Caenorhabditis elegans: one gene and its partners. The protein of the gene in region 1 purifies or fractionates together with the protein of each later gene. This does not show direct contact. Each region holds a gene or a part of one and is shown in the gene's direction. Other genes may lie near its edges.

Region 1 (8,874 bases):
GTCAAACAATTTTGGTGGCATCCCTGGTACATATGTACCTGATTGTGAGAGTGTTTTGCTCAATTTCATCAATTATATTCTTGTCTTACTCGGATTTTTGGGTGTTTTCATGGAAAGGCCACAAATTTGTTGAGTGACATTTTTAATTAAAAATTTACAGTACTAGAGGGTACGGTAGCTGAAAACTTTCGCTCGTGGCGAGACGAAATCTCACTTGGGCAAAAGAAAATCTCATTCAAAAAGAGGGTAAATGAAGGTCCCCGAGAGTCAATATCGAGAGAGCAATAAATTCGTTTTCCCTTCAATATGCTCACCTGCCCCTCCATCTCATTGCCTTCTTGCCTCTTTAAGAAACTCCACCCACTTTATTTCTTGGTGGTTCTCTTCTCAGACCTCCCTTATAAAATGTACATGCATTTGTCACCTTGACGACACATATACATATAAACATCAGAAATATATATATAAATTTTTGGCAAGAAGTCATGAGAGTGCGGGGGGGGGGGGGAAATTTCAAAAGTCAATTGGATTATTAAAATGAAAAGCTTTTTGCTGAAGAGAGAAGAAAAAGAAGAAATTTGAAGAAAATGTCGAAAATCGTGTGGAAAAAGAGCAAAGGAGCCGTCGGAGTGGTCGAGGGGGAGCATGATCAGATCTTTTGACTAAATCTAATTTTCAGCATCAAAGGGCACTCATCCGATTTTCGAAATTCCCCGGCAGTATATGTGGAGCCCAACATGTTTCTCATGTTCTAAAATTGAAAAGCTTTATATAAATATAGATCTGTAGAAAAAATTGAATAAGATATAAAAGTACAAGGCAACGGAATTGAATTATAGGCAAATATCACAAAATTTTGGCACACATGCATGGGAAAATATGAATATTATCAACTAAAAAATATGGCTTCGAAATGGGATCGAACAATTGTTGCAGTTTTTGATTGGACATCGGCAAGGGATGATGTGTAGTTGGATGGAGGAATGATTAAGACAAGGAGGCGAGAATTAACCTGAAAAATAAAAACATTGAATTTTGTTTTTGCCAAGAATGTTGTTACCTTTTTGATAACAATCCACCAATCACTTGAAGATTTGACGAAACATTCACCAAATTCTTCAGTTTCCGACACAAAATTGCTCATTGTATCACATACTAAACGATTAACATCAACTGGTGGCAGTGGTACTTTTAATGTTGAATTAGATCCAGAAGCGGCAACGGGAAGCTTCGGAGATGTTGAAAGGCTTGAGGTCATGGATAACGATGATGGATTGAAGTAAATGTAATGGAAATCTGGAGCTTCCGGGAACTTTTCGTCGCCGATTCTGAAATTAATGGAATTTAATGGAATTTATTGTGATATAATGTAAGTTTGAACTTACTCGTCACCAATTTTACTCGCTACTTGTGAAAGTTCGGTTTCCAAAAACTGATCAATATTTCGAAGAAGTCGACGACTGACAACACCATTCTGTGAAGGAGTGGCGCGAGATGATTGAGATGATTCTGGAAAAGAAAATAAGTCGGAAAAAGATTTATTTTGTTTAAAGGTGGAGTTCGGAAAATGTAGATATTACCTTAAAAGTAGTTTAATGTGCCGAAATATCACATAAGAAAGATGAGAAAAATCCACCAAATTTGGAAAAAATCTGATTTTGATGAAAATTCAACTTTTGCTAATCCCTTTATTTGAATTACCACGCTTTTGTCTCTAAACTCCGCCCATAGAACCGTGCCGCACTTCGACTTTTTTTTTCAATTTCGACACGAATTCTTCTTTTTTGTGTTTCTTGACTAATTTTTAATGAAGAAAAATTCAAAAATGTTCAAAAATATTTTTCCTATTTCAAAAGCATTTAGAAATCATTTTTAAAAACGTTTCCTTGTGTTTAGAATTTCAGGAACATGTACTTTTTTCGGGTTCGATACGATTTTTTAATTCTTTTGATATACAAAAAAATATATTTGATCATTTATGCCATTTTTCTATATTAAGAATAAAAAAACAACACAAAAAGACAAATTTGCGGTACAATTGCAAAAAAACGAGGCGCGGCACGGTTCTACGGGTGGATTTTAGATACAAAAGAGCGGCAATTCAAATTAGCAGATTAGCAAGAGTTGAAAATCGCTTTTTTATTTTCAATTTATTCTCAAAACGTAATAAGAACGTTTCGTTTCGAAAAACTATTTTTAAAAACTCACCAGAATCCCTTCTGATTTCTAATCCACCATTTGCTGGACAATTTCTGACAAACATGCAAACTGTTGCATTTAGACATCGATAAACGATCATCTGGTATCCGATGAGTTCTTCTTGAAATTCAGTTCCTTGATCGGAATGCAAATGAACTACAGAAAGTGACTCATCACCGAGCAACGGAGCATCTGTTGTTAAATCTGTTGGTCCTCGTAGATATCTTCCTTTTGAAGCATTTCTTCCAGAATGTTCAAGTTCTGGAGCCAATGTTGTTGGAAGCAAATTATGTGTCAAATAATGAAATAGTGATGGAAGATCGCGTTTCGAAAGTTGATAGTAGAGAAGTTTATCTTGATACAAGAACATTATTTTCTCGATAACTTGGAATTCTTCACGAAGTTCGGAAAGTAAAGAAACAACGTTCAAGTAGAGAGGACCAGACATTCGTAGAAATTCGACGCCTCCAAGATGATCAAGTAGTGGCATTTTGTGAACTTTCAGTAGTGGGATGTACTTGGAGAAGAAAAAATCAAGGCGTTCTTTGAATTTTGGAATGTCGTCGGGAACATTTCTGAAAGATATTTTTATTTTTATAAACTAGACTTTAACTTACTTGATAAAAGAAGAAAAAGTTCCAAAAAACATTCGAAACATTTTGTAGGCATCGGAAAGTATACTCCTAATCGCTGGTTGAAATAGAGGATAATCAGAAACCAATGATAATTGTTTAGAAATTGATACTCCAAGAATAAATTGATCGTCTTCTGTACGAATATAAACGTGCTCTGTTCTCTGCGTCGTCACAGTTCGGAAATCGAAACCATCTTCATTTTCACTAATTCTTTCACTGATTTCCCGACGGGAGGTGCTCAAGAAATTTTCTGTAAAGTTAACAACGGCTTCTGCGAATCCTGTTATTTCGGTCTGAAATTAATACAGTTATTAGAATAAAAAGTATTACGATATTGAAAACCTGTCTCTCTAATTGCTCGCCTTTCGGATGAAAATACATCACACGATTATGTTCTTCGCCTTCTTTTCGTCCTGATAATGGATGCGCCACGAAAAAGAATTCAAGGACATCTGTAAAAACATAATTATTTCGTTTTTTTAATTAAAATTCAATTACCAATGAATCTGACCACATTAGAGCAGGATGGCGGGTTTAATGACAAGTTGGAGAAGAAATACAATGGATTTGCAATCGACTCCATTCTGAAAAAAGCAAAATATATGTTTTGTACCGTGCAGTGTTAAAATTAAAATTAAAAATAAAATAAAATAAAAGAGAGAAAAAGAGTGTGTGAGACTAGGAGGGTAGCAGACATAAATGATTGACGCAAACGTTGTTCACTGACGCAAAACTTGATCACTGGCGCATGTCTCGATTTATTTTTTAAATCCTCCGCAAATTTTCTGCAAAACCATGCAGAATATATATATTGTTTATTTGTCACAAGAAAGAGATAAAATATTTGATCATATAAACATATAACTTTTAGACGACATGAATGAAAATTCTAGCTGGAGAGGTGGCAGTAGCTCTCAGCACGGTCAATCATGGCGCAGTGGCGATATTCCACTCCCTAGGGACTTCCCTCCACCAGGTTTGAATCTTTTAAACGTTTCAAGATTGTAAATCATTAATTTTTGACTTTTCAGAACGGCAGTCGATTCCTTCTCTGATGGATCCACCAGAGATTGTCGAATGGCGCAAGAAAATCGATGAGTTACGTCAAAAGATTATCGACAGTGAGCAGAATTTGAACGCTCACAGAAATGGAATGGACGAGCTCCTAATGGTGTGTTTTGCAAACATACAATCTTGTATCCACGTTTATCCAGGCACATCTTAAATCTGCTATTCGAACTTCTGAAACAATGAAAATTGAGAAGATGTTGAGTCAGAATAATCTGAACGTGGAAGATCTCAATTCCTATTTAGATGCAATGGCTACACCGAAATGCTCTAAAGATTTGATTTCAGTAAGTAATTTTTCAAAAAATAAAGAAATTTGACGAAAAATTTTCTTCAGCAAGCGAAAAAGTGGATTTTCGAATACTGCACAAGCGATCAGCTGAGAGAAATAATACTGTCTTTTCTGTTAAATAAAGTTAAAGATGAAGCATCTGGAGAATATCTACGACTTCATATTCTATATTTAATCAATGATTGGGCATTTCATTGGTAAGCTTAGAATACTGAACAAAACGTCGTTAAATACCAAATTTCAGTCAAAGAAAAAAAGAAGAAAATCAAATGAAAATGCTGGCTCGATACGTTCCAAAAATGTATGCATATTGTATAGAACTTTCTTCGTCGAGTGAGTTGAGCAACAAGTTAGAAGGAAAGCTTTTAGGAGAATGGGAAGGTCGACAATATTTCGCTGATTCTGTATTCAAACAACTCAGGAATACAGTTCAAATTGTTAGCACTGACAGAGAAATTGAAAAATCATCTTATGGAACAATTCGGGAGTCGATTCGAAGTAATCTGATGGCAACGTTTGATGGATATGAACAACAGCATGTCACATATTCCCAGCATATTCAAAGACAAATTGACGAAGTTGAGAGAAAAATTGATGGTGAGAAATAGAAATTTAGTCTGAAAATTTTAAAAATTGGTTCTTACAGAGTTTCGTCATGGGCCATCATCCGGACCTGCATCGCATCATCCTAATGCTCCACTGTCAAACATGAGAAGATCAAGATTTGATCAAGCTCCAAAACATTCAGCTGAACGACCACACGCTTCTGTTTCGAACACATGGAATCAAAATGACCAGCAGGACGATGGAGAAGATATTGATGGAATGCCGTTTGATGAGGAAAATTTGAAGCCACAGAAATCGTATATGGCTTTACCGGCTGGAATTATGACTCCACTAGTTTCGATGAATAGTGTCATGGTATGTTATGATCCGATATTTTGTCAATTTATATTTTATTTGATTCAAGTATGAACCATTGGACCCAGAAGAACTTGAAATGCCAGCATCAGTTCCACCGTCATCAAGACTACTTGCTGCTAAGAATATGTTCCACAAAGGTGTCGAAATGGATATTGCTTTGGCCGATGGAGCGTACGTTCTCAAAATCAATTCAATTTTTTATTAAATTAATTATTTACAGAATCACCGAAGATCCGACCAACTTGAAATACCCTCTTGAGTTTTTGGAAGAAAAGGCACGTATTAAAAAGACATTCGAAGAAAAACAAAAATGTTCTGTCGAAGAATTTATCACAAATCGACCATCTGCAACTGATCGAGAACGATTTGACAAAACAAGAAAATTGAAAGAAGAAGATCAAATTGAAAAAATTCGTAAATGCGTCGACGCATACTATGCTTCACAGGAGCCACCCGAAAATTTAAGAGAAGATTCCGAGGCGAGGCGTTCCAATTCACGATCCCCTCCTAGAGACCACAAGAGATCGAGGTCGCCGTCACGAAGTCCAAGCCCGAGAAGACGACAACGATCTTCATCGAATTCATCTAGGTCTTCGGGTTCTTCGTCAAGATCCTCTTCTTCTAGCAGAAAATCGTCTCCGGAAAGAGGAAGAGACAGTAACATTGGACAGCGAGGATACGGCGGAGGAGGTTTCAGTGAAAGGTTTGTTTGATTAATAAAAAAATGTTGATATTAAAAATTATATTTCCAGACCTTCGTTTGGATTCAAATCTGCCCAGGAACCACTCTCGTACGATAACAAAGGTGCCCAACTTATGGCTAAAATGGGTTGGGGAGGAAAAGGATTGGGAGCAAATGAAAGTGTAAGAATCAAAATATTTATTTTTCAGAAATAATTTTCCAATTTTTCAGGGAATCGTTGATCCTGTGTCTGGTGGAGAAGTTCGTAATAGAAATGAGCAATTTATGGGCCTTGGTCGTTCACTTGATCCATATGAGCAGTTCAGAAAACAACGATCTGGAACATACCACGACCGAGGAAGTTTTCACCGAAAATAGAATCTCTACGTTTTAAATTTATTTTTTTTGTTATGCAATAATTGTTGAGAAATCATTAATTTGTTTATTTTATCATCATTAAAATGATCTCCGAAACATACACATTATTAAAGCTAATGCGAAGCGATGATTGGCGACGTAGCCGTCTATTTTTTTACAGACATTCACAATCTTTTGTGAGTTGAAGCATGAGATTGAATTATTCAAGGTAGAAGACTGGACGTGGCTTGGGGCGAAGTGGGATCATTCGATGGGCAAAAGCTATCCAGAGAGCAGTGACGACAACTAACTGGGCGAATAAAAGCTCCCAAACTCTTTGAGGACCAAATGATGCGTATATTGCTCTGAAACAAAACAAATACTACCAAGGCGCGGAGTTTGCTATTCTTCCGCATAAAACTACTGTTCCCGGTCTCGATACGACAAATTTTGCTGATTGCAAAAAAGCGTGCGCCTTTAAAGAATACTGTAATTTCAAAGATGCGGAATTTTCATAGATTCTTCAAAGTTTTTCTCACAGATTTGATACGATTTGTATCGTTTTATTTGAGTTTTTTAGAGAATAAGCATATTTTATAGATAAATTATGCGCAGCATTCAAAGTTTGAAATTACAGTACTTTTTAAAGGCACACATTTTTTAGTTAACAAAATTTTGTCGTGTCGAGTTACCAAGTGAAATATTTTTTAGCAGAGCATTTCCTTCGAAGTTCAAGCTTACGTGCAAAGAACAGGAGCTACAACTCTCGCAAAAACTTGGGAAACGTCATAGAGACTTTGCTCCAATGCTTGGCCAACTGGATTGAATAGTTTTGAATAAAGCGTGGCATCTCCAACATTTATAAATGGGACACAACCACCAAAAGCTATAATATATCCAATGTAGAAGAACTGTAAAATCGTCAAATTACAGTAACCCTGAGAATTATCGCACCGCTTGAGATGTTTTTGGAAGTCCTAAACACCATGAATATAATGAATAATCACATCCTCCGTGAGTTCCATCTGTATTCACAACTACATTCGTTGGAATATACGGCCATTGATATGTTGTTAGAACATATATGATAAATATTATCAAACTAATTGTATTCACTTTTCCAATATTCAATTTTCGAGCAACATCCGTGAAGACAAAAGTACTGTAGAGAGATAGTGCGAAGACTCCGGCGATGAAGAAAATAATGGACATTGTACCGACTGCAGAATCTCTTTCCATATTAAACATCATCATCATGAATGCTGGAGCAAGTGTTTCAATTGCATAATATGTAAAGTTTTGGCAATATCTTGTCAGCATGCAGACGAACATTGCAAGTTTATCTGGTCGAGGCCAATTTTCATCGTCTTCCTGAATTTTTTATATAATTTTTTTTAAAATGGAAAAATGGAATCATCAACTATATATAAATCAATTATTCCGTATGTTCATAGTTTTTAGACTAAAAAGTGTTGTCTTTTGAAGTGATAACGAGTTGGAGTTAGGAAGATAATTCCAGGTTACTGTAGTGGTTCTATAGAAATTCTGAATTAAAATTTAAAATTTTTGAGTAAAAAACAAGGAAAGAAGCTGATCCAATTTTGGGATCCGAAAAATTTGAGAGTTTTATAAAAACCTGGAATATTTTTAAAAGTTTTACATGTTTTTGGAAAAGTTTATAAAGTTTTGAAATGCTGAACACATTTATTGAAAACTTCTAAAATTATAAAAAGAACCTTCAAAATTGTTGGAAGCTTTCGGAAAAATTTAAAGACTTTGTTTCGAAAATAGTATAGTAATAAGGGCACATTAACATTCGGAATAAGTTTTTTATTATTATTTTTTTAGAAACTTATTGAAAACTTCGAAAAAATTTTATATTATTAAAAATTATTTACTTTCCTTACCTGTAGAGATTTTTCGTGAAAATGGAAAAAAACACTTACAACACTCCTCTGACTGCAACTATTTCCATTTCTTTCAATTTCATGATATACTGTAAACAATGCAACAATTGCAGATATATTTAACACAATTGAAATGAACGCTGCTGCATTATGAGAATGAATATGCAATGGACCGATAAGTTGAAGTCCAGTATCTCCAAGAAATAAGAAAATCAATTGGAGCCCTGGACCAAGAATGAGCCCAAGAGCACGTCCACCAATAAATACTGACATTGCTTTTGCACGATCATCGGACATTGAATGAGCAGTTAGGGTTGTACGTAAAGTTGACGTATTTCCTAGAGAATTTGAGAATTAGCTAGATATATTTACTTTTCGGAGTAGTCGGCGAGTTCAATACTTTTTTTTAAATTTGAATATCAATTTATCATTTCTAATGTGGAACCACTTTACTTTTTCTGATTCGACCCAAGCTTGATGTGTGAATTTTGCTAAATGAAATATTAAAACCACGTTTGAAATCTTTGAAATAGTTACAAAAATACAAAAATAGCTGCTATGAGACTATTTGAATTAGAAATAAAGCAATCATAACGACTTACCCATTCCAAGACCACCTAAAAATCTACACAACATAATGTAGAATGCACTAGTTTCTGCTGGAACATGATCAGCCAAGAGGAATAGACAATTGGAAAGTAACATTAAAAGATATCCAACACACATTGGTTTTTTGCCCTGAACATTTGTTTAAAAGTTTTTTAACTATTTAATGTATTTACCTTATACCGTTTTTTAGTCCACCATGCT
Region 2 (6,991 bases), on another chromosome or scaffold:
GGTGGATGCTTCAGATTCGGCAACGAGAAGGTTGAATTGATCTTCTGATGACATGTATCTGAAACAAATATGATCTTATTGTTTGAAAAATTGAAAATCGAAAGTTCTTTTTTTTTGTAAAAGCTTCTCCTTTTTTTAAATTAAAATTGTCATTTTTAGAAATCCAATTTTTTCCTCGTCTCTTCCATACACTTTTCTACATTTTTCACAGATTTTAAGATTCATAATTTCATTTTTTTTTACTTTTCGTCAATTTTTTATATTTCCCTTTTTCGAAATTTAATTTTAAAAATGAAGATAAAATTTATTTTCCAACGTAATTATTTTCTATTTCACGAATCCAAGCTTTCGAAGAAATTCTACCTTTCGGCAGCGGCTCCTCTTTGGAAGAAATGTGCAAATGTTTGATGCAAATCTGCCAATGTTTCGAGTGTTTCCTGATCTTTTCCTTCTGAACACGTCGTGTTCAACGCATCGACCACACGAACTCCGCTAACAATCAGATCCACGTTGCAATTGAATCCTATAACTGCTTTTTTGAACATTGCTCCAGGCTTGACGATTGCTCGCTCCCATGATAAAAACATTGCCGTCTCAACTGAATACGACGAGAGACGATGTTGATCATTGTAGTAGCTGAAATATTCGATAAATATTTACGAAAATTTTAATTTTTTTATTTAGAAAACCTAAAACAAAAAAAATTTAAACGAAATATTTACGTTAGAAGTAAATTTAAAAAAGTCAAATTCTTATGAAAAAAAAAATTGGATTTCAAATTATTTTAAAAATTGATTTTGACGTTCTTATTGATTTTTTTGGAAAAAAAGTTCGATTATTTGGTGATTTTTAGAAAAAAAATCAATTTGTTTAGAATGTGTAATTTTAAATTGTTGATTGATTTTTCGGGAAAACGTTTTTTAAAGTTAAACATTTGAGCTTTAGTCATTTTCTATTTTTATTTGGTGATTACTTGGAAAAGATTCAATTTCAAAAAAATCAAATCATTTTTTGAGGAAAGTTCAACTTTTCGGTGATTTTTATAGAAAAATAATTGATTTGAATAAAAGTTAATTTTTTGTGATTTTCTTTTTAAAAAAATTTCTTTTTTGGAAAAAAGTTCAATTTTTAGTGATTTTTTTAAACCATTGATTTTTCGTGAAAAAAATAGTTTTTTGTTTGATTTTTTGAGAAAAATTTGCAATAAAACAGACCTATACCAATATGGAACTATGAAGAATAACACTGAAAGATGTAATAGTCGATGTTTATATGAAAATATTGACGGTACAAATGTTTCGGAAAACATTTGTGTGGCAGTGCTGAATACCTGAAAAATTATATAAAAATTGTGAGAACCTTTGGGGGAAAAAATTGTCTAAAAGATTTTTTCGATTTTTTATTTCAGTCGCAAATACGGAAAAAATACGACGATTCTAAAAAAAAATTTTCGTAAATTGGTTGATTTTGATGCAAAAAATAATTTTTTTAATAGAGAATCGACCGGAAAAGTTTAAAATATGAATGTATTTTTTTAATAATCGAAAAGTTGAGAAAACAGAATGCAAAACCGGTTTTTTTTTTAATTTTGAAGAAATGTTCATAAAAGGGGGAATACAGTTTGTGAGTATATATCTTCGTCTCTGATTTTTTTTCCAAAAATCGATATTTCCCGGGGATCAAACCCTTTTTAGAAACAAGGCAGTTGAACAAAAAAGAAAAAAAAACAAGAGTTTTTATGTGGAACTTAAAATAATTTAGAGAGAAGAATTGAATCTCGTATTTGAGAATTTTAGAAAAGGGAAAAATTAGGTACTTGGACGGAAAAATCAGAAGTCATTAATTCTACAGATACAGAGAGAAAAAAAAGAAACAAACTAATTGAATTAGAAGGGTTGTAAAGGGAACGGATAGAAATACCAGTACATAAAAATGAGAGAAACGGTATTTTTTAAAAACGAAACAAATCGGAAAAATGTGGAAAAAAGTCAAAATGTTTAAAAATTTTGAATCGGCTTTTTCAATTTTTTGAAACCGATTTTCAGAATATCAGGAAAATTCGGGAAAAAATTGAATTTTAGGAAAAAATATCGAAATTGTAATAATTTTGGATCGTTTTTCTAATTGTTTTTCTCACTAAAATCAGCTTAATTTTTTGAAATTTTTTCACCGATTTTCGAAACTTCGAAAAACAACATTTTTGAAACTTTTCTCAATTTTCCAATTTCAAAAAAAGGTATAACAAAAAATTCGATTTTGTAAAAAAATAATCTAATATCTTCGATCTCTGTGGTGTCTCCGATCTCTATCATATCCATGATGACGATGCTCTCGACGATCTCTGGAATCCCTGGAATCCCTGGAATCATGACTGGAACGATGTGGAGAACGACTTCGGTGACGGCGGCGCTCAGTGTCAGATGTTGTTGCTGCTTCAGCACGTTTTTCTCTGAAAATATTTCAGTTTCTGATTGATCAAATTTTATTGTGAGCAGGGCTACCGGTTTTTAAGTTAAAAAACCAAAAAATTGGAAAATTTACGGTTTTTACAACAAAGAAATTTAAAAATTTACGGTGTTTCTAAAGAAATCGAAAAATTTGTGGTTATTTCAAAAATCGAAAAATTTACGGTTTTCGGTTTGAAAAAAATGGATAAATCGAAAATTTTTCGCTTTTTCCAGAAAAATCGAAAAAGAAGTTTTAAAATCCGAAAATTGTCGTTTTTCGGTTTTGTTTAAAAAAAAACTTTTTTTTCGAAAAAAATTTTTTTTTTTAATTTTTTCGGCTGCACCCCTGATTGCTAGTACCTCCGCTCTTTTCTTTTAGTCTCCTCGGCTTGTTCAAACTCCTTCAGCTTTTCCTGAAATTTTTTAAATTTATTTTCCGCGAAAAAATTCGTCTACATATTGCCAGTTTTTTCCAGTCAAATATACCTGCTCTTTGAGCCATGACACGTAAAAAGGCGTGGGAGGGTGAAAAAACCTGAACCATTTTTTTGGGGGGAATACCTGTACGTCAGCTTGTGTGCTTGAGAGATTTCAGCGTTTTTCAGAGCCCATTTTCTAATAGTAAAAGCATATATAAATATGATATATACGTGTGCATATTTACCTTAAGCTGTTGAATCATAGTCCGGATTTTTTGGAAACCTGTGTGCATTTTTCCAGTCAAATGTTCTTCGATACGCTGTTGAGCGTCATTCACGATGAGCATGCTCCCACACACTTCACAAACCTGTAATTGTATTTTTCTTGGATAAAAATCAGTCTAAATCTTCTAGATTTTTAGATTTACCTCCATTGGCTTAATTGCCATTTCGTCAAGCATCGGTGGCATGGCTTGTGGGTTCGGTTCGTTCATTTGTGAAAGTTTCTCTTCAAGACCTCGTTTTTCAGCTTCAACCATCTCGCTTCTCGCGACTATTTCCTGGCATTTTGTCACATTTCCCTCACTGCCGGCTTGCTCTGCGTCTCGTATCATATTTTTCAGGACATCATCTATCGAATTGATCTCCAATTGTACCTGACGCTTCTCTTCCTCTAACTTTCGCTGAAAAATTGCGTGTTTTCGACATTTTTTTTCAGATTCAAAGAGTTTACCTTTCCACTATCATCCATTCCGGACAATTTGTCTTTGTTCTTTCGAATTCTTCGCTGATTATCTTCATCTAATTGAACGAGAAACCGCATAAGACGTCTTTCAAAGCCAAGTTGTCCATATTCTGGAGATTCTGGATACAATCTTCGAAGATTATCGTCATGTACTAGCTGGCACGCTCCCAAATCTGCCTTTGTATTGATGAACATGTCGTGAGGACAGAAACCGACCAGGAAGTACGGGCATATGTCAGGATCCTGTAATAATCTATCAATAGTTCCAGGGGAAAAAATTTAAGTTACATCAAATGTGACTTTTGTGTCTTTTCCTAGTTCAACATTCCGTTTGGGACCCATTAGCTCGTCGAGCATTGCTGCCATAGCGTTGCGAGCCGACATGACTGTAAAATTTATTTTTTGTTGAAAGTTTGAGAGAAAAATCGGTTGAAATAACAGAAAAAAACATCGTTTCGCCGGAAAAAAAACAAAAGTTTGTTTGCAAAAACACTAGTGTATATTTACGGTAAACAAAGTGCGCATGCGTAATTTCGGAGTGTCGTTGTTGTGCATTTTCCTTTGAGAAAACGCGTTAAGATCACTATTTTATCGACTTTTTTATTATTATTATGAAATATATTCAATAGAATTTTCTATTTCGAATCATTTTTCAGTAAAAATGTTGAGAAAATTCAGTAAACAATACCAAAAAAGAATTCGATGAATAAACAAGGCGCGTGGAATTCCCTGTGGAATTTCGGAGTGTCGTTGGCTAAAATCTTTCGAATTATAAAATTTAATTTGCTTTCGAGACTCTTTTTGCCTCTTATTATTACGTTTTTTCTTCAAATTTTCAATTTCAGATTCACAATGGCAATGGCAAATCGTCAAAACCGTGGCGCAAAGCTGCCGCCAGAGGTCAATCGTATTCTTTATATTAAAAATTTGCCGTATAAAATCACGACGGAAGAGATGTACGAGATTTTTGGAAAATTCGGAGCAGTTCGGCAAATTCGAGTGTAAGTTCAAGCACAATTATGGTTTTGCCTGTTCTTGAAGAAGCCCGACCAGTATTGATTTTTCAGCGGAAACACTGCAGAAACTCGCGGAACTGCATTCGTCGTCTACGAGGACATATTCGATGCGAAAACCGCCTGCGAACATCTGTCTGGCTATAACGTTTCGAATCGGTATCTTGTGGTGCTCTATTATCAAGCGACAAAAGCGTGGAAGAGAATGGACACGGAAAAGGCTCGTACCAAGCTTGAAGATATCAAAGAAAGATATGGAATTGGTGGAGACATCGACAAGGAAAAGGAGAAGTTGGGATTGTTCACTCCAAGAAGAATTTAAATATCGTGTTTCTTTAAACCTTATTTTATCATTTCCCTCAACCTTCAATGAATGATAATTTCTCTGTGATTATTTTTCTTTGAACTTTTCATGAAAAAAGTATAAAGAGTAGCTGAGAAGTATTTCTAGAAGCCTTTCCCATGTAGTTTTCACTGCAACTTTTTTCGAACGAGGGGTGAGAAAAAATGCGAAAAATCGGTGTTTGCACACAATACACCGCATTTTACGACATTTTCTACTTGCTTTCTTTTCTTGTGTTTTTCACCGATTTTTCCCGTGTTTTCTTATTAAAACTGATAAATAAATATTTTTTGTTAATGCTAAAATAATTTCCAGATGAAAAAATTGTGAATTCAGCCGGCAAGTAGCGGTGAAAGTGGTCAATGTAATATGATGGATTACGGGAATACAAAACCCAAACTTTTCCCCAAACATGATACATATGATGTTTAGATGCTAAAAGTACCTGATTTTCATAATGAGACCGCTGAAAAAGTTTTGAGATTTTCAAAATTCAACTTTTTTGGTAAAAAAGTCGAGATTTTGGCACAAAATGTTGAATTTTGAAAATCTAAAAACTTTTTTAGCTGTCTCGTTATGAAAATCAGGTACTTTCAGCATCTTAAAAGCATATATATCATGTTTCAGAAAAAGTTTGAGTTTTGTATAGCCGTAATCCATCATATTACATTGCCCACTTTCACTGCTACTTGCCGACTCAATTCACAATTTTTTCACTTGGAAATTGTTTTAGCATCTGCAAAAAAAATATATTTATTTGTTTTGATAAGAAGAAACGGAAAAAATCGGTGAAAAATGAAAGAAAACACGCAGAAAACAAAGCAAGATAAATGGCCGCTGAAATTTGTCGGGGACTCGACCATGGCCTAGAAACCTTTTTGCCTCGTCCCTCGTTCGAAAAAAGTTGCAGTGGTTTTATTCATTTTGCAGTTAAGGTTATTTTTTCGAATGCCAGTTCCAACTCCACTCTCGGAATTCGTTTCTTCCAAAGGTAAGTAATCATGATTACTGCTGAATTCGAACGTTTTTATTTCAGTTGCCACGTTTAGCAACATTCAAAGATTCTTGAATCTCGACGGAAATGAGCATCTTGCCGTCGCCGCTCTTCAAGACAGTCGGGTAATGGGAATTCCAGAAGCGACCGGCCCTGAAGCACCAGCTGGAGCGATGACTGTTCAGTAATATATCGTTCAAAGTAAGTACTAGTATCCTAAGTAAGTAAGCGGTATTTTTATAAGGAAAATGTTTAAAAAATTTTAAATCGTGTTTAAGACTCTACGACCGATCCTGATTCGAAGTTCGGCTGCCCGCAATGCCACAAAATGATCAAATGGTGCCAGATGTGAGTAAATAAATTAAAATAAGTAAAGCCATAGTTGTTTTTCCAGGGATCATCACATTTTCAATGCACACGTCGTGAAGAAACCCTTTCGCTGCACAATCTGAAGTTCGGATTATTGTGACAAGGATGGAGCTGTTGCTCATGCTGTGAATTGTCACGACTTGTCAAGAGAAGAAGCAAAAACCAAGTCCAGAAAGAGAACTGAGTCGGAAACCAAAAAAAAGTAAAAATTGCCAGTTTTTCCCTAAATATACAAAGGTTTTTCAGGATGGAGAGAATGATGAACGATGCTAAGGAAGGTTTCTCGTACTGATGGATCTCACATGTGCTCTCTATTTTTTTGTTTCTCTTAAAATTTGACGTTTTTTCTCCCTTTTGAGCCCCCTTTCAATATCGATTTTTAATCTGGTCACTTTTTTCTGGTTTTTTTTTTGCTAGATTTAGACCTTCACCCTCCTCTCGACAAACGTGTAGAATTGCTAATTTGACCCCCTCCCAGTAATTCACAATTTCCTGTGGAGCCATCCGATCTCACATGTGCTCTCTATTTTTTTTGTTTCTTCTAAAAGATGTACAATCACTTTATGAAAGGAAATCCAACAAATTCTACGGAGACGACACCATTCTCACAGGAAAATGTTTTCACTTGGAACATCTGGATAGTTGCATCAACTTCGAAATT
Region 3 (7,499 bases), on another chromosome or scaffold:
ATTCCAACAACATTTTCACATAGCCCGCCGATTTTTTGAATGCCGGGAAGAAATGATCGTCAGTTTTCAACACTTCTATCACTTTTTCCTGAATCGATTCAAACCAGAGATCATGAGGTTCGTCGTTTTTAAGACTTTGAAGAAATCTCGAAATTAGAGCATCTTCTAGAGGAACTCGAGTTATTGCCTGAAAAAAAAATGCGATTTTTGGGGGTTTTTTTTATGGAAAAAGTGGAAAACTGATAATTTAACGATGAAAAATCAAAATTTTTAAGTTTAAAATGTAGAAAAATTCATTTTTCCAGATAAAACGAGCCTTTTTCACACGTTTTAGACCAAAAAATTCGAATTTTCATCGTTAAATAATCAGTTTTTCTTAATTTTCTACCTCTTCTGATAAATATTGATCATACATATACTTCGCAGCTTCTTTCACCGTCTCATATGCATCTGATTCACTGAGTTCTCCTTTTGAAAGTGAACGCATTTGGTGTTCAACGGAAACTTTGAAGCCCTGAAATTATATTTTTGAAGAAAATTCGCATAATTTCAATGTGAAACAGAAAAAAAATCAGCGAAAATGGTCCAAATGCTTCATTTTGGGTCATTTTCGCTGATTTTTTCGGGGTTTTCATAAAAAATCGAACAAAAGTATGATGTTGCACCGAAAATAGCTCGAAAACTGATTATTCCGGGATTTTTTGTACGAAAATCACATTTTTTTTCAAGTTTTCACAGCAAAAATGACAATTTTCGACCGGAGAAAGCGCGAAAATGAGCAAAATCGAGCTTTTTTCAGTCAATAAGTGCGAAAAAATTAATTTCCAGTTGTCCACGAGAAGTACACGCCCGGCGCGCCGCAGGGTTGCAAATCTTCGCTCCGCCCCTTTTTCAGTGCGGCATTGCGTTTTTTGCAGGATTTTTGACCGAAAATACTTGATTTTGGGTCATTTTCGCTGATTTTTTCAGTGTTTTTCATCAAAAATAGACCAAAAAAAGAGATTTTGCACAGAAAATAGCTCAAAAACTGTGCATTTCGGGATTTTTCATACGAAAAACGGAATTTCTCTAGTTATCATATCAAACTTTTTTGATTTTTGACACTTTCGAGTTGAAAAATAGGGAATTTTGGATTTTTCAGATCTAAAATCATATTTCTTCAAGCTTTCACAATGAAAACGGTTAAAAAACCACAAACTCTCGATTTTGGGAAATTTTTGAACGAAAACACTATAAATAAGTGATATATTGCGAATTTTGAATGTTAAACACAAAAAAAATCAGCAAAAATGACCTAAAACCAAAAAGTTTAGCAGAAAGACTGAGAAAATGCAAAAAATTAATTTCCAGTTGTCCACGAGAAGTACACGCTCGGCGCGCCGCAGGGTTGCAAATCTTCGCTCCGCCCATTTTTCTGTGCGGCATGCGTTTCTTGCAGGATTTTTGACCGAAAATTCTTTATTTTGGGTCATTTTCGCTGATCTTTTCAGTGTTTTTCATCAAAAATGGTGTTCTAAAGCAAAACTAAGCCAAAAAAACTGCAAAATCACACAAGTAGGACATTTCCAATGTACCTCAATGGCTAAATAAAGATCAATATAATTTTGACCGCCAGCTGATTTGAGAAATTCGCAGAACTGTGACAGAGCAATAGAATTCGTGAGAATAACGTGAAGTGGAAGCTGTACAAGTTGATCTCCATCTTCGCCAAATTTCGTGAGCAACGCGGAATCTTTGGATCCCAAGAAGTCGATTCGCCGCTGAACTAGATTTTCGACGAATTGTAGACTGGCTAGTTGTTGTTTAACGAAAGTATCCTGTTCTCCACCGGAATCCTTCCCTCTCATTACAATTTTTTCGTCAGCAATCGCTCGGAACACGGCTTCCAGCTCTTCGATGGATGTTGAACTCGTGAGACACGCCACAAAATCATCGGGTTTTGGTTCCACTTCACTGAGAAGCCAAACGATTAATTGAAATATTTCATTTGGATCGGAGAGGTAGTCCAGAGTAGGCAGAATCACTTTTCTTACTGAAAAAAAAAAATAATAACTAGATTTTTAAATGTTATTTTCGTTTTTTTATCCATTTTTCGCCAGCAAAGAGCGTTGCGAGACCTTCTATGTCCCTTTAAAAGTTGTGTAGATTTACGAGCACCGTGTACTATGCGAGGACAAGCGTTTTTTTCGGCAAAAATGTCTGAGATTTCCTATTTTCTGAAGAAAAATTGTGTGTTTCGATGGTTTTGTTGCTATTTTTTGAAAAATCGAAAAACTTTAAATTTTTGGATTTCAAAAAAGTTAACGAAAAATATTTTTTAGTTTTTTCCCCGATTTTTCGAAAAATAGCATTAAAATTTTTCGATTTTCAACAAAAAATCAATAAAAAATTATTTTTTCTATAATTTTTTTTATTATTTTAGGCAGAATTAAATTTAAAACGCAAAAAACCGTGAAATCCTGCTAGAAAATACGTTTTTCATGCTTGTCCACGAGTATACTCGTGGCTCGCAAATCTACACATCTTTTAAAGGGACATTGACTTTTTTTTCAGAAAAAAATTAAATTTTCCATCAAATTTCGGTCATTTTTTGTCTTTTTAGAAGAAAATTCGATTTAAAAATTGATTTTATTTTTTCAATTTTTCTCAATTTCCTGAATATCTTCCGACACTGACCAACAACTTCTCGAAGCAAGAATCTCAGCGGCCGACATCTAAAATCTTCCGGTGGCATTATTAAATAGAGAATTATATCGACAAGATCATGAAGATAGGCTGAAAAATCGGAAAAAATTGAATTTTTTCATCGAAAATCTCAATTTTTACCATTTTCATAATGCGGTGTAGTTGAAAGAAGATCTCTACACAACGATTTTTCCATTTCCAGCTCAAAATCAAAGAAATTGCTGAGCAATTCCGCTTCCAAATCTTCAGGGGATAATGTTTTATCTTTTTCCTTCGCTTGAAATGCAGTTCTTTCCTTAGCTTTCCGGAAAAGCCGTAAATGAGAAGCAAAATCGTCGACAACGTCACGCGTGAGCAATGGAACCCAATCAACCTGGCGGAGACTGGAAATTTGAGATTTTATTGATTTTTTTCCATTTTTTGTTTTATAAAATAAAATTTTATTAATGAGCTACACACCATTGTGTCAATGAGGCAATTGATCTTCGGGAGGTTCTCTTTAAGCTTTGTTCAAAAATATTATCATTTGAAAGTGTTTTATACCAAAAGCCGACGTAATCCCGTGTTATATTGCCGAGAATCTAAAAAAAAATATTTTTAATAACATTTCAGTCCACATAAATCCCTACTTGTTCTAAAACCAAATCTAATTGCGGTGAATTGCACATTGAATGCACCTCCACATATTGATTTTGCTCTTTGAGTCGTTTTCCATTTTTCAGCAGAGCCTCAATTCCCGCAGATAATTTTCCTTTTTGCAGATTTTCGGATAAAATTCCAGCGATTTCGTCATGTTTTTCGTGTCCCGTTTGATAGAAAATGTAGAGAAATCTGAAGGTATTCCAGTTTAAGGTTTTTCTAAAGAATTAAAGCTTACCCCGCTACGAAACAGAGGATACTGGCTGGAAGAACGATTAGACCGGTTGAACCGAATGTTGCTAGGAAAAGGACTACAGCAAGGAGAATATAAAGCCGATTTGACATTTTTCTAGAGAATTTTCCGATTTTTCTTCATATTTTACATAAAATTATGGAAATTCATCTGTAAAATCTGGTAAATAATTAAAAAATTCTATGCGCATTCCGTAAAACTAGTATCTCGGGGACAAGGGAACGTGAGATTTGAAATAGTTTCTGGCAGCTTTACAAATGAAAATTGCTGTATTTTTTTAGTATTTATAATTGATTAAGAATAATATAATAGTTTTCATTTAATTAAATATTTAAATTTGCATTTTACATAAATGCTAGTCTCCAATTTCGGCGTTCTTGCGTCTCCGGGAAGTTAACTTCATGAGGCCCTTCCCGCAAACGCGCCCCACTGCACACGCTGCGTGCTGCGTCGCGTGCCTTATTTTCGAATTTTATTCCCTTCATTTTTCATTTTGAGCTCTTCATTTTTCGTAATTTTTAGAAAGAAAAACCGTTTTATTTCTAGATTTTCTTCAAAATAAAGTTCTAAAACACATTTTTCTCATCTGGAAATCCATTTGTTGCCACATTTTTCTTGCAACGCGTGCAAATTCTAGAATTTTCCGAAAAAACTTCATTTTCGGGGTTTTATTCCTTTTTTGTCTATTATGCTCAGCATATTTCAAATGAGAACAAACTTTACCGTGAAAAGTGTGAAAATCTGAAATTTTAGGCGATTCTACTTCTTTTTTCTAACGTTTTCTCCCTTCAAGCCGAATCTACAGAATCAAAATTTTCAGAATGACTTCAGTTGGTGTCCCAATCAAGATTCTTCATGAGGCCGAAGGTCACATGGTCACGCTCGAAACCGTTACAGGTAATCATTTTCGAATTTCCCGTCGCTCAATAAATACTTTTCTATTCCAGGCGAAGTTTACCGAGGAAAACTTTCTGAAGCCGAAGACAACATGAACTGTCAGCTGGCTGAAACCGTTGTGACTTTCCGCGACGGAAGAAGTCATCAATTGGACAACGTTTTCATTCGCGGAAACAAGGTTTTTCACCATTTTTCTCTAAATTTCAGCTGTAAACCAATCAATTTCCAGATCCGATTCATGATTCTGCCGGATATGCTCAAAAACGCGCCAATGTTCAAAAATATCGGAAGAGCCCAGAAAGGAGCCATTGGAATGGGTTTGGGAGGTCTCGATCAGCGTGGAAGAGGACGTGGAACCGCTTTCCGTCGACCAATGGGCCGTGGAGGACCACGTGGAATGTCTCGCCCGGGAGGAGCTCCAACGTTCCGTGGATAAGCACAACACGGCGCAAATATAATCAATTCTCTGTATTTTTTCTCTCTCTCGAGTCCCCCATTCTTCCAGTTTCTCTTCTTTTCAAAGCGTGCGCAGACCGTTGAATTTGACGTGATCTCCTGCTTGTCCCGGCTCCGCACTTTGTTATTTGTTGAATCATACTTCATTTTTCATAAATTATTTTCCAGAAAAAAGACGACGACAAACTGGTTTCGGAGATTTCCCTGTAAGATTACCACAATTCCAAAGTGTGGTATTCGCCTAGAATATAACTGGCGAAATGGTAAATCATTCGCCAGTCGTCTTCTTTTTGTTCTCCTTATTCTTTTATTCGCATTTAAATGGAGCATTCGATGATGCAGAGCATTTTCCAAAAGGGATAGAGGATAGAGCCAAACTTTTGGCACGGGCAGACCAGTGTGTGCTAAAATATTTAGAGTTTACCGGCAAAGTGAGTAATTTTTCGCAAAAAATTGAGCGAAAAACTTGAAAATCCACGTTTTTTTTCGAGCCGCTCCGCTTGCTATTGCGTCGCGGTCGCGAATATTCTGTTATTTTTTTTATTTCTCTGTTCAGAAGCTTTCACATCTGCCGTACACTGTAAAACGATGTGCTCTCTCGGAATATTTCACTTGGGAAGAGTCTGGAACATTTTTTCCGTTTCAAAAATGCAATAATTTCGTGTTTTTCGGGGGAAATTCCCTCCAAATATTGAATAATACCGATTTTAAGATGCTCAATTGCAAATATTTGATTATCGATTCGAGGGAGAACCTCCGTGGAGTTTGTAGTTTATAGTCGAAGAAATGAACTTTTAAATTCTGAAATTTTCAGCTTGAAAATTATAAAAAAGTAGATGATCTTTCAAAATCACAACTAAACAATGCTCTGCTTCAATTTAAAGAAGAAAATGTAAGCTGAAAATACAAATTTAATTTAAAAATATTTTTGAAATCGAGGTGCAATCGCCCCCAACGCGAAAAGGTCTCGTTTTGGCGGGGAAACTGGGGATTCAAATATTTTGCGACCTTTTTTAGTCTTTTTTTTGTTGCTCTGACCGTTTTTTTAAATTATTTTTCTGCTAAAAATGTAATTTTTTCTGAAAATCGTCAAGAACAACTGAAAAAACGTAAAAATGTTTAAAAAAAACATGTGAAAACGTTTGAATGTCTAATTTTTGCCGCCAATACCCAACGAGATTCCGTGGAGCGCGATTGCACCAACCTTAATTTCGAAAAGGGCATGTTTTCCAGGTAATAGAGCATATTTTCATCTTTGAAATGAAAGAAATTGAAAATTATTTGGATAACCTTCTGAAAATTAGAAAAATATATTCCCTTATTGTATGCCAAATTACGATTCGTGTACCGACGTTTGTCGGGGAAGATGTGATTTGGCAATTTGCAGAGAATATTTTAAGAGATGATTATTATATTTTGTTGAAAATCACCAAAGAAGCAAGTTATATAGAGTAAGTTTGAATTTTCAAAAAAAAATTCAATTTTCTTTCAAAAGTAAAAAAAATCAGTTTTTATGATGAGAAAACCGAATTTTCAATAATTTCCGGTAATATTTCAACGGCACTTCTTAATTTGTACGCGCCTTTTGAAATCGAGGCGCAATCGCGCTCCAACGCGAAAAAGTTGGGTACCGTTAGGAACTGGCGGCAAAACGATAAATTCAAACGTTTTCAGTTATTTTTCGGCTTATTTTCGTTATTTCTCTGGTGGTGTTTTATAATTTTTTTTGTCAAAAAAATTCAATTTCGTCATAAAATGCATAAAAATCACTCAAAAAATCACAAAAAAGTCGAAAAATGCTTGATTTTCCCCGTTTTCGAGAATTTTTCGTATTTTCCGTAAATTTTTATGCCAAAAATCTGTTAAAAAAGTAATTTTGACGAAAAGTGCTCGAAAAACATTTGATTTTCTAGCTTTCCCGTCTAAAAGGTCCAATGTTCGGTGGAGCGCGATTTCCAAATTTGCATTTTTCTACGTCTCCATAATAACACGACATTTTTTCAGGTTCTACTTCTTCGCGAACAATGAATACCAATGTATGATGCGTTATTTATAAAATAATATTTTAATTAAAATGAAGAAATGAATTTAAAAAAAACAAAACAAACAATTACTAAAACAAGCTAAAAACTAGAGATTTTAAAAAAGAAATTAAACAGTTTTTGAAGTGAAATTATTTGAATTAAAATAGACAAAAAGACAAGCAGCCGACAGTCTTGTCATGAGTTCTTCTCTTTCAATTCCGTGAGCCCATTCAACATTTCCCCATGTTTCTGCTTGAGTTCTCTGTTCCAGTGTTGCTGCATCGATTGCTGTGTCTGGGTCGATGTGATGACGAATTGCGTTGTAGGCGATCACGAATGATTTGACCTAGAAATTTTTTTTGGATTTTTTAATAATTTTTTTTTGTAAAATTCATAAAAATTGAATTTTTGTGTTAAAAAAATTTCTGAAATTTTTTAAAAAACTATTTTATTTTTAAAATTTAGAAAATTTTAATATTCTTGTAAATTGCTTCCAATTTTGTAAAAACAAATTGAATTTTTTTTCGATTAAAAAAACTAAATAA
Region 4 (6,998 bases), on another chromosome or scaffold:
CCCAAGTTCTGCCATTTCTCGCTTCAAACTCTTCATTTTGCTCAATGTCAGATGAATCATTGGGTATTTCGCCTCGAAATCCTCATTTATCACTTGTTTCGCCCTCTCCGCCGATTCACAATGAAGTGTGCTTGCCACGCAACACTCGTGACGGATTACAGTCCGTTTTCCGATTCCCAACTCGGAAAATGCGATCGGATCGTACTCATCGATGACTTCTGATGATGGTTCATCTGATCGGCTGGCGTCTAAATCGCATTTTTCATCGATTGAAGTTCCACGTTCATAGCTTGAATCTCGATTTACGGCTTGTGGAACTTCGATGGTTTCCGCAAACATTTCCTCCGAGGTTTCGCCGTTTCGGAAGCTTTCCTGTAAAAATTTTCGATTTTTTATCAACTTTTCACCTAAAATTCACATTTTAAGACTCAAAATCTGCTCAAGTGAACGAAAAATTCCGAAAAAAAGGTTTATTTTAGTGAAAATCTTCAATTTTGCCAGTTTTTAAGTTTCATAAATCCATTATTACAGACCTTAACGGTGGAGTAGCGCCAGTGGGGAAATAGCTTTAAAACACGCCTATGGTACCACAATGACCGAATATCATGATAAAAAATTCAGAAAAATGTTCTAAATTTTATATGATTTTTTGAAAATTGAAAAAATCTCAGTTTTCCCCTAATTCCTATTTGAATTACCGCCATTTGGATTTGTTCGATGGAGCGCGCTTGCACGTTTTTAAATTAATTTATTTTATTTTTTGTTATTTTCCACCGATTTTTAATGTTTTCGGTGTATTTTTGGTGGAATTTTAGAGAAAAAGTCAAAATAAATGCAAATTTTTGATTAAAAAGCAAACAGGCGTAAAAATCAAAAAGTAACGCTTTTAAACGATTTCGAACCTGAATTAATTGATTTCACTGATTTACGCCTGTAAGAGTGCTTTTTAATTGAAAATTTGCAATCATTTTGACTTTTTCTCTAATATTCGAGCAAAAATACACCGAAAACATTAAAAATCGGTGGAAAATAACAAAAAATAAAATAAATAAATTTAAAAACGTGCAAGCGCGCTCAATCGAACAAATCCAATTGGCGGAAATTCGAATAGGAATTAGGCAAAAACTGAGATTTTTTCAATTTTCAAAAAATCATGTAAAATTTAGAACATTTTTCAAAAATTTTTTATCATGATATTCGGCCATTGTGGCCCCATAGGCATGTTTTAAAGCAATTTCCTCACTGGCGCTACTCCATCTTTAAACAGTACGAAAATCAACGATATAAAGTGAAATAAACGAGCAAAATTTGCAAAAATACGAATTTTCGCCTGCTACGACACGAAAAACTCGGTAAAATTGAAGATTTTAGCTAAAATTCGCCTTTTTTCCGCGGATTTTGAATCTTAAAATTCAAAATTCAAAGCCTCACCCTCCGCTCTTTCCTGGAAATCGAGGCGGGCGACTTGTCGAACAGCGTGAAAAACGGCGAAGGATTCCGCTTTCGGCGAATCTGCCCCAGAATTACTTGATCTTCAGCGTCTCGGAAGACAAATGGCCGCAGCTCTTCTGTTGATAAGTGAGCCTGATGCCGCATGCGATCCGAGCTGGAAAATTGGATTATAAGGTGAAATTATGGGAATTTATCGTATTTTTTCAAGATTTTGACCTAAAGGCGCACGGATTTTTAGCAAATTGCAGCGTTTTTTCTTACTTTCTGCTGAAAATTTGCGTTGTTTTCCTTTTTTTCGGTCTGAAAACTGAAAAATTTAACAAAAAAAACTACCACATGCTGTCTTTTCGCGTCGATGCACAGCTGAATAAACCCATGTGCCTTTAAGATCGCATAGCCGAAATTTCTGAATTCCTGCGCTTTTTTTGTGAAATTTTGTTAGATAATTGCCAGTTTTCGGGGAAAATTAGGTAGAAGATATAAATTATAGAGGAGATGTTAATTCTAAACCTTCCAAAAATCGATTTCGATCGGAATTTCTTCTTATTGACGGTTGTGTTGGCGAAAATCGGCGCCAGCGGATCCACGTAGTCGCTGTTCGGCGAGATATACGAGAAAACTGCCAGAGGCTGGCCATTCGTCGAGGTGCAGATGTAAAATCTGAAAATGTGGGTTAGTTCGCAACACGGAACGGTTAGTGTGGGGGATTTTAGAGGATTTTATGATGGTTGAACTCACCTATCTGCATGGGTAATGGTGCTTTTGAGCCTTCTCAGAAAACTGAACTGATTTGAAGAACAAGATGGTGATTCTGAGCGAAATTCTGTGAAAATTTTGAATTAATTTATTTTATTTCAAGTTTTGTAAGCTTTTATAAGCTCGCCAGCTCACCAATCAGCCCACTATCTTCTCTCCCGACGCCTTCTTCAAGAATCGGAGATCTACTGTTTGTGGCGGTCATTGAATAGATCACGTCGTCGGAGCTCATGATTTTCGCGATTCTTCGGAAGATTGAAGTTCTATAAATAGAGAAAATTAATTAATTATATTGATTTTCAACTAATTTTCACTTTTTCTGTGGTGTCTCCGCGTATTCCTGCGGCAAATTCGACGAGCTTAGCCGTTCTCCGAGTGAAGCGGATGTTCCGAGTGAGATCACTGATTCATTGTTGCGGATGGTGGTTGTGGAGCTTGCGCCGTTTGAAAACTTCTTTTCCGTTGGAGATATCTGAAAAAATTATCAATTAGTTACGAAAATCGCTGAAAAACCAAGATTCTCACCTTCGGAAGGCCTTTTGTTTGGAAAATTCGAAGATTTGTGTCATTGTGGCTTCCATCAACACTGATATTTGATAAGAAATTTTGTGCGACGAGAATATGATAGTTACTCTTCTTTTTTACCATCTAAAATTGGAAAAACGAAAAGAAAAAGCTCGGAAATCCGATAAGAATTGTGTGAGTACGGTGTGCAAGCGTCTGCAACTTGTCGTCATTTATGGTGTACCAAGCGTGGTGTTTGCGTACTATTCGAATTTCGAAAAATAATTTCGTCGATTTTAGCCTTTTTCATCCAATTTTCCTGATAATTATCATGTTTATTCTTTGAAAAATTAGTTAAAAAATGTTATAATTAATGTATTATCTGAATTTTCGATAGGTGGAAGTTGAAAAATGAGCTTTATTTTCTATTTTAAGTAAAATCTGTTTCTTTGATGATTTTTCCATTCTTCATTTTCATTTCCCCCTGCAAATTCTCAATTTTTCAGAAAAATGAGTAAGACACATCCACCAGAGCTCAAAAAGTACATGGACAAGGAGATGGACTTGAAGCTCAACGGAAACCGTCGCGTCTCTGGAATCCTCCGCGGTTTCGATCCATTCATGAACATGGTCATCGACGTATGTTTCTTTTTCCGTTTTTGTCTAATTTATTCTAAAATTTAATATTGCAGGAAGCTGTCGAGTACCAAAAGGACGGAGGATCCGTCAACCTCGGCATGACTGTCATTCGCGGAAACTCCGTCGTCATCATGGAGCCCAAGGAGAGAATCTCCTAGATTTTTCGATCTCCACAATTTCCTGTCACTTTCTCAATGTTTTCATTTTCAAATTTTGATATTAAATTTTTGAACCTTTTTTTTGATAATTTTTGATAACTACGTGGTCAAAACCCACTTCTCATCTCTGATTCACGTGAATTTCGTATAGATAAGAACTTCGCAAATAGAATCAATTCACAAACAAATGTACCAAAAGTTATGTTTTATTATTGCAGGCATAAAAAAAATCAATCGTAAAGCTTTTTTTCAGCATTTTGTTTTTCCACGGCTCAAATTGAACGAAATAGTGTTCATTTTGAAGAGAGGCACGAAACAGAGTAACAAAAACACGGAGAGACTTGTGTATCCCTCTTCTCTTTCCACTATGTGCGGTCGACGACGCTCTCCACATTTTTCTCTCTTTATTCTTCTCGTTACTCTTACTCGGCACAACAGCAGCAAAAAAGAATACTCTTTCCCCACTTCTTATCTCTTTTTCTGCCGACCTATTTTCTTCTTTCAAAACAGAAAAATGTTCCACACACACGCCTATCATCATCCGAAAGCTGTACGAGATGTGCTTTCTCATCTTTCCGTACTCTTGTGGCTGCAGCCGTCGAAGAGTTGAAATATCAATTTTCAAAACGCGGCAGATTCTCAGCCGGAATTCAGTGAATTCGCTTGATTTCTCGCCAAAATATAGAAATCAGACGATTTATCTGAAAATAACACCCATTTCAGTTGAAACATGCGAGAAAATGCTGAAAAATAGCCTGAATTTGCTAATTTCAGGCCATTTTTGAGCTCTTCCTCAAGTGTTTCGACTGAAATAAATGTTTGTTTTAGATAAATCAAGTGATTTTCTATAATTTCACATCAATTTTAAATGAATCAACATGTCACAATAGGTCATTTTGAAAAATTGGCGCCAATCCCCAAACCTGATCTGGATTTGAACAAGAGTTTTCTACTTCGATTTCACATTTTGCTGAGAAAAACCGAAAATTATCGATGTTCTCTTTTGAAAATTGAACGCTTTTCAGTGATAATTAGGAAAAATCACCTTTTTTCAAGTCGAATAATTTCAAAAGCTTCAGAAAATCCAATGTTTTGACTCGAATTCAGGAAAAACCGGAAGAAAATCGCGAAATAATATAAAATCCGAATAAAAAAAACGCGATTTTTTTCAATTTTGGCTGAATTCTCCACACTCCAACTGATTGATCGTTCATTTTTTAAAGGAATTTAGCCAAAATTGCAAAATCCCGATTTTAAAAATAAAAAATTAATTCTGTTATGATTCCGCGTTTTTTATTTTGTAATAATTCCCATTTACGCCGTCTTTTAAAAATGCAGACCCACAATTTTTCTGGTGAACATTTCAAATCAATTCAAATTATTTTGATCTGATCTCCGGCGCGAATCACTTGTACTTTGTTCTCTCTCCTCCCGTCTCCTCCGTGGCACTATGTCATTCTGAAGTTGTTTCAATGACAAATCACTCACGCACACACACACACACAATGGATTGTGCCCTTTGTGTTGCCGTTTGACTATCATCGATTGATTCCATTCCCGTTCCGTTTTCGCCGTGCTCTCTCTCTCTGGGTTTTTCGTCTTCTCCCGGGAACACTTGGCCAGTTATCACTCGCTCTTTCTGTCCTCCTCTCAACAGCTATTGGCTACTACTACTACTGCTGCTGCTGCTGATCCGGCTCCGGTTGGCTATAGGCACATTTTGATGCGATTTGTGTGTGTGTGTTCTTTGGAGATTCAATTTGAAGAACTCTTCGCCTTTTTTGTATAAGTTTTCTTTTCGGGGGTGAAAAAATTCGCATCTTTATTCTCTTTAAGGTGGTGTAGTCTAATTTTTTTAAAAATAGCTTTATTAGACTCAAAATTGTCTGAAAACACCGAATTTCATAGTGTAACTTCTCAAAAAAAGTTTATGACGGCTCCAAAATGGCCTAAAATTAGTTAAAATTTGAAATTCGACCAACTTGTCAAGCGGCTGGAAACAAAATCACCGTCAAATTTTGAGTATACAATGTAATTATCTTGCGTTTTTAACTTCATTTAGGTATTTTAAAGTCCATGGACGGCGAGATTTCACAATTTTTTTAACCAAATCTCGCCGTCCATCGACTTTAAAGTACCTAAATCGAGTTGAAAACGCAAGATAATTGGATTGTATACTCAAAATTTTACGGTAATTTCAAAAAAAAGTTTCCAGCCGCTTGACAAGTCGGCCAAATTTAAAATTTTAACAAATTTTTAGACCATTTTTTCAGCCGTCAAAACTTTTTTTTTGAGAAGTTTTCAAGAAGTTTCATTATGAAATTCGGTGTTTTCAGACAATTTTGAGTCTAATAAAGCAATTAAAAAATTCGACTACACCACCACCTCAAAAATTTATAAATTAAATATATTGAGAATATTTTACCTGGGGTTTGGTCCCTAAGCTAGGCTTCTGAGCAAGATAAAAATTGAAAAAGGTGATAAATTCATCACTTTTTTCTCAATTTTTTGGCTCAGAGGACTAGCTTGGGGCCCAAACTGTTCACTTTCTCTCAGAATTCCGAATTTTTGACCCCGGAAACAGAATAAAAATGCACAGCCCTGACTGGTTCACATCATAACTCTTTTTATTTTATCGCTTTTTTGTCTCTTCTTCTTCTCCGCCGCCAAGTCATTCCTCTCAACATCCAATTTTCCAGCGCCCAATGCCTGTCCCACCACAAGTGCAAAAGGTCTTGGACGATGTCGACAAGCAGCTCCACGAGCCGAGCACCGTCACCAACGTGCTGGCGACCGTTGAGCAGAAGACCGGAGTCAAGCGGCTTCATTTGGTGCTCGGCGTCGTCGGTCTTCAGGCTCTCTACCTCATTTTCGGACATTCCGCCCAGCTTGTGTGCAACTTTATGGGATTCGTCTACCCGGCTTACATGAGGTTCGCGAATTTTGCAACAAAGAAAACTGCCGCACAGAAAAAGAGGCGGGGCGTAATTTTGCAACCCTGCGGCACGGATTTTCGCTCTTTTTTGTTGATTTTTTTAAATTCTCATAAGATTGTGAGGACGCTATCAAAATTTATTTATCGATCCTTGCATTTTGCAAAAAGTTTTGTCGCACAGAAAGTGGGGCGGAGCGTGCTTTCGCAACACCGCCGCACGGGGTTTGTCTCCGCCCATTTTCCACAGCTTTTCTTGTTGATTTTCTCAAAAAAGTTTTGATTTTACTTGTCTTTTTCTTTTCTTTTTCGAATTGGATCACATTTTCATTCGAAAAAAAGGGGCAAAAACAAGAAAAATCGAAACTTTTATTGAAAAAAAATATACAAGAAGAGCAGTGGAAACATGGCGGAGACAAACCCCGTGCGGCAATGTTGCGGAAGCTCGCTCCGCCCCAATTTCTGTGCGACAAAAATTTTTGCAAAATGCAAGGATCGATAAATAAATTTTGATAGTATCCTCACAATCTTATGGGAATCAAAAAAAATAACAAAAC

The links.
Region 2: the proteins of tag-65 (region 1) and sftb-6 fractionate together in Caenorhabditis elegans (co-fractionation; one large-scale study listed by BioGRID). This does not show direct contact.
Region 3: the proteins of tag-65 (region 1) and snr-1 fractionate together in Caenorhabditis elegans (co-fractionation; one large-scale study listed by BioGRID). This does not show direct contact.
Region 4: the proteins of tag-65 (region 1) and snr-7 fractionate together in Caenorhabditis elegans (co-fractionation; one large-scale study listed by BioGRID). This does not show direct contact.

What each region holds. Positions count from the first base shown.
Region 1 is NC_003283.11:13,673,419-13,682,292, reverse strand, and holds tag-65 (CID domain-containing protein), read left to right. Parts: upstream 1-3,705; 5' UTR 3,706-3,710; coding exon 3,711-3,810; intron 3,811-3,865; coding exon 3,866-4,005; intron 4,006-4,048; coding exon 4,049-4,189; intron 4,190-4,239; coding exon 4,240-4,391; intron 4,392-4,438; coding exon 4,439-4,791; intron 4,792-4,840; coding exon 4,841-5,115; intron 5,116-5,164; coding exon 5,165-5,289; intron 5,290-5,338; coding exon 5,339-5,821; intron 5,822-5,870; coding exon 5,871-5,982; intron 5,983-6,031; coding exon 6,032-6,178; 3' UTR 6,179-6,271; downstream 6,272-8,874. Other genes in the region: ccz-1 (Vacuolar fusion protein CCZ1 homolog), read right to left, coding at 890-1,012, 1,061-1,328, 1,386-1,509, 2,209-2,774, 2,817-3,127, 3,177-3,286, 3,333-3,417; F58G11.4 (MFS domain-containing protein), read right to left, coding at 6,378-6,522, 6,899-7,068, 7,112-7,528, 8,104-8,402, 8,667-8,802, 8,847-8,874.
Region 2 is NC_003280.10:93,948-100,938, forward strand, and holds sftb-6 (Splicing factor 3B subunit 6-like protein), read left to right. Parts: upstream 1-4,456; 5' UTR 4,457-4,463; coding exon 4,464-4,612; intron 4,613-4,678; coding exon 4,679-4,946; 3' UTR 4,947-5,014; downstream 5,015-6,991. Other genes in the region: C50D2.7 (putative ADP-dependent glucokinase), read right to left, coding at 1-58, 364-636, 1,215-1,309; luc-7L3 (Luc7-like protein 3), read right to left, coding at 2,272-2,449, 2,808-2,860, 3,112-3,234, 3,295-3,549, 3,600-3,854, 3,900-3,995; C50D2.10 (Transcriptional regulator), read left to right, coding at 5,916-5,958, 6,004-6,149.
Region 3 is NC_003282.8:17,083,661-17,091,159, forward strand, and holds snr-1 (Small nuclear ribonucleoprotein Sm D3), read left to right. Parts: upstream 1-4,388; 5' UTR 4,389-4,398; coding exon 4,399-4,474; intron 4,475-4,524; coding exon 4,525-4,652; intron 4,653-4,703; coding exon 4,704-4,910; 3' UTR 4,911-5,190; downstream 5,191-7,499. Other genes in the region: snx-13 (Sorting nexin-13), read right to left, coding at 1-187, 389-514, 1,575-2,032, 2,677-2,775, 2,827-3,068, 3,145-3,266, 3,315-3,516, 3,563-3,669; Y116A8C.43 (Lipoprotein), read left to right, coding at 5,191-5,361, 5,487-5,693, 5,745-5,822, 6,164-6,381, 6,935-6,986; Y116A8C.27 (ATP synthase mitochondrial F1 complex assembly factor 2), read right to left, coding at 7,082-7,300. UniProt on the Caenorhabditis elegans protein: Plays a role in pre-mRNA splicing as a core component of the spliceosomal U1, U2, U4 and U5 small nuclear ribonucleoproteins (snRNPs), the building blocks of the spliceosome.
Region 4 is NC_003279.8:2,723,796-2,730,793, forward strand, and holds snr-7 (putative small nuclear ribonucleoprotein G), read left to right. Parts: upstream 1-3,218; 5' UTR 3,219-3,222; coding exon 3,223-3,351; intron 3,352-3,404; coding exon 3,405-3,509; 3' UTR 3,510-3,587; downstream 3,588-6,998. Other genes in the region: Y71F9B.6 (Cyclin N-terminal domain-containing protein), read right to left, coding at 1-372, 1,432-1,606, 1,963-2,112, 2,191-2,275, 2,344-2,471, 2,523-2,680, 2,734-2,856; yop-1 (Receptor expression-enhancing protein), read left to right, coding at 6,215-6,441. UniProt on the Caenorhabditis elegans protein: Plays a role in pre-mRNA splicing as a core component of the spliceosomal U1, U2, U4 and U5 small nuclear ribonucleoproteins (snRNPs), the building blocks of the spliceosome.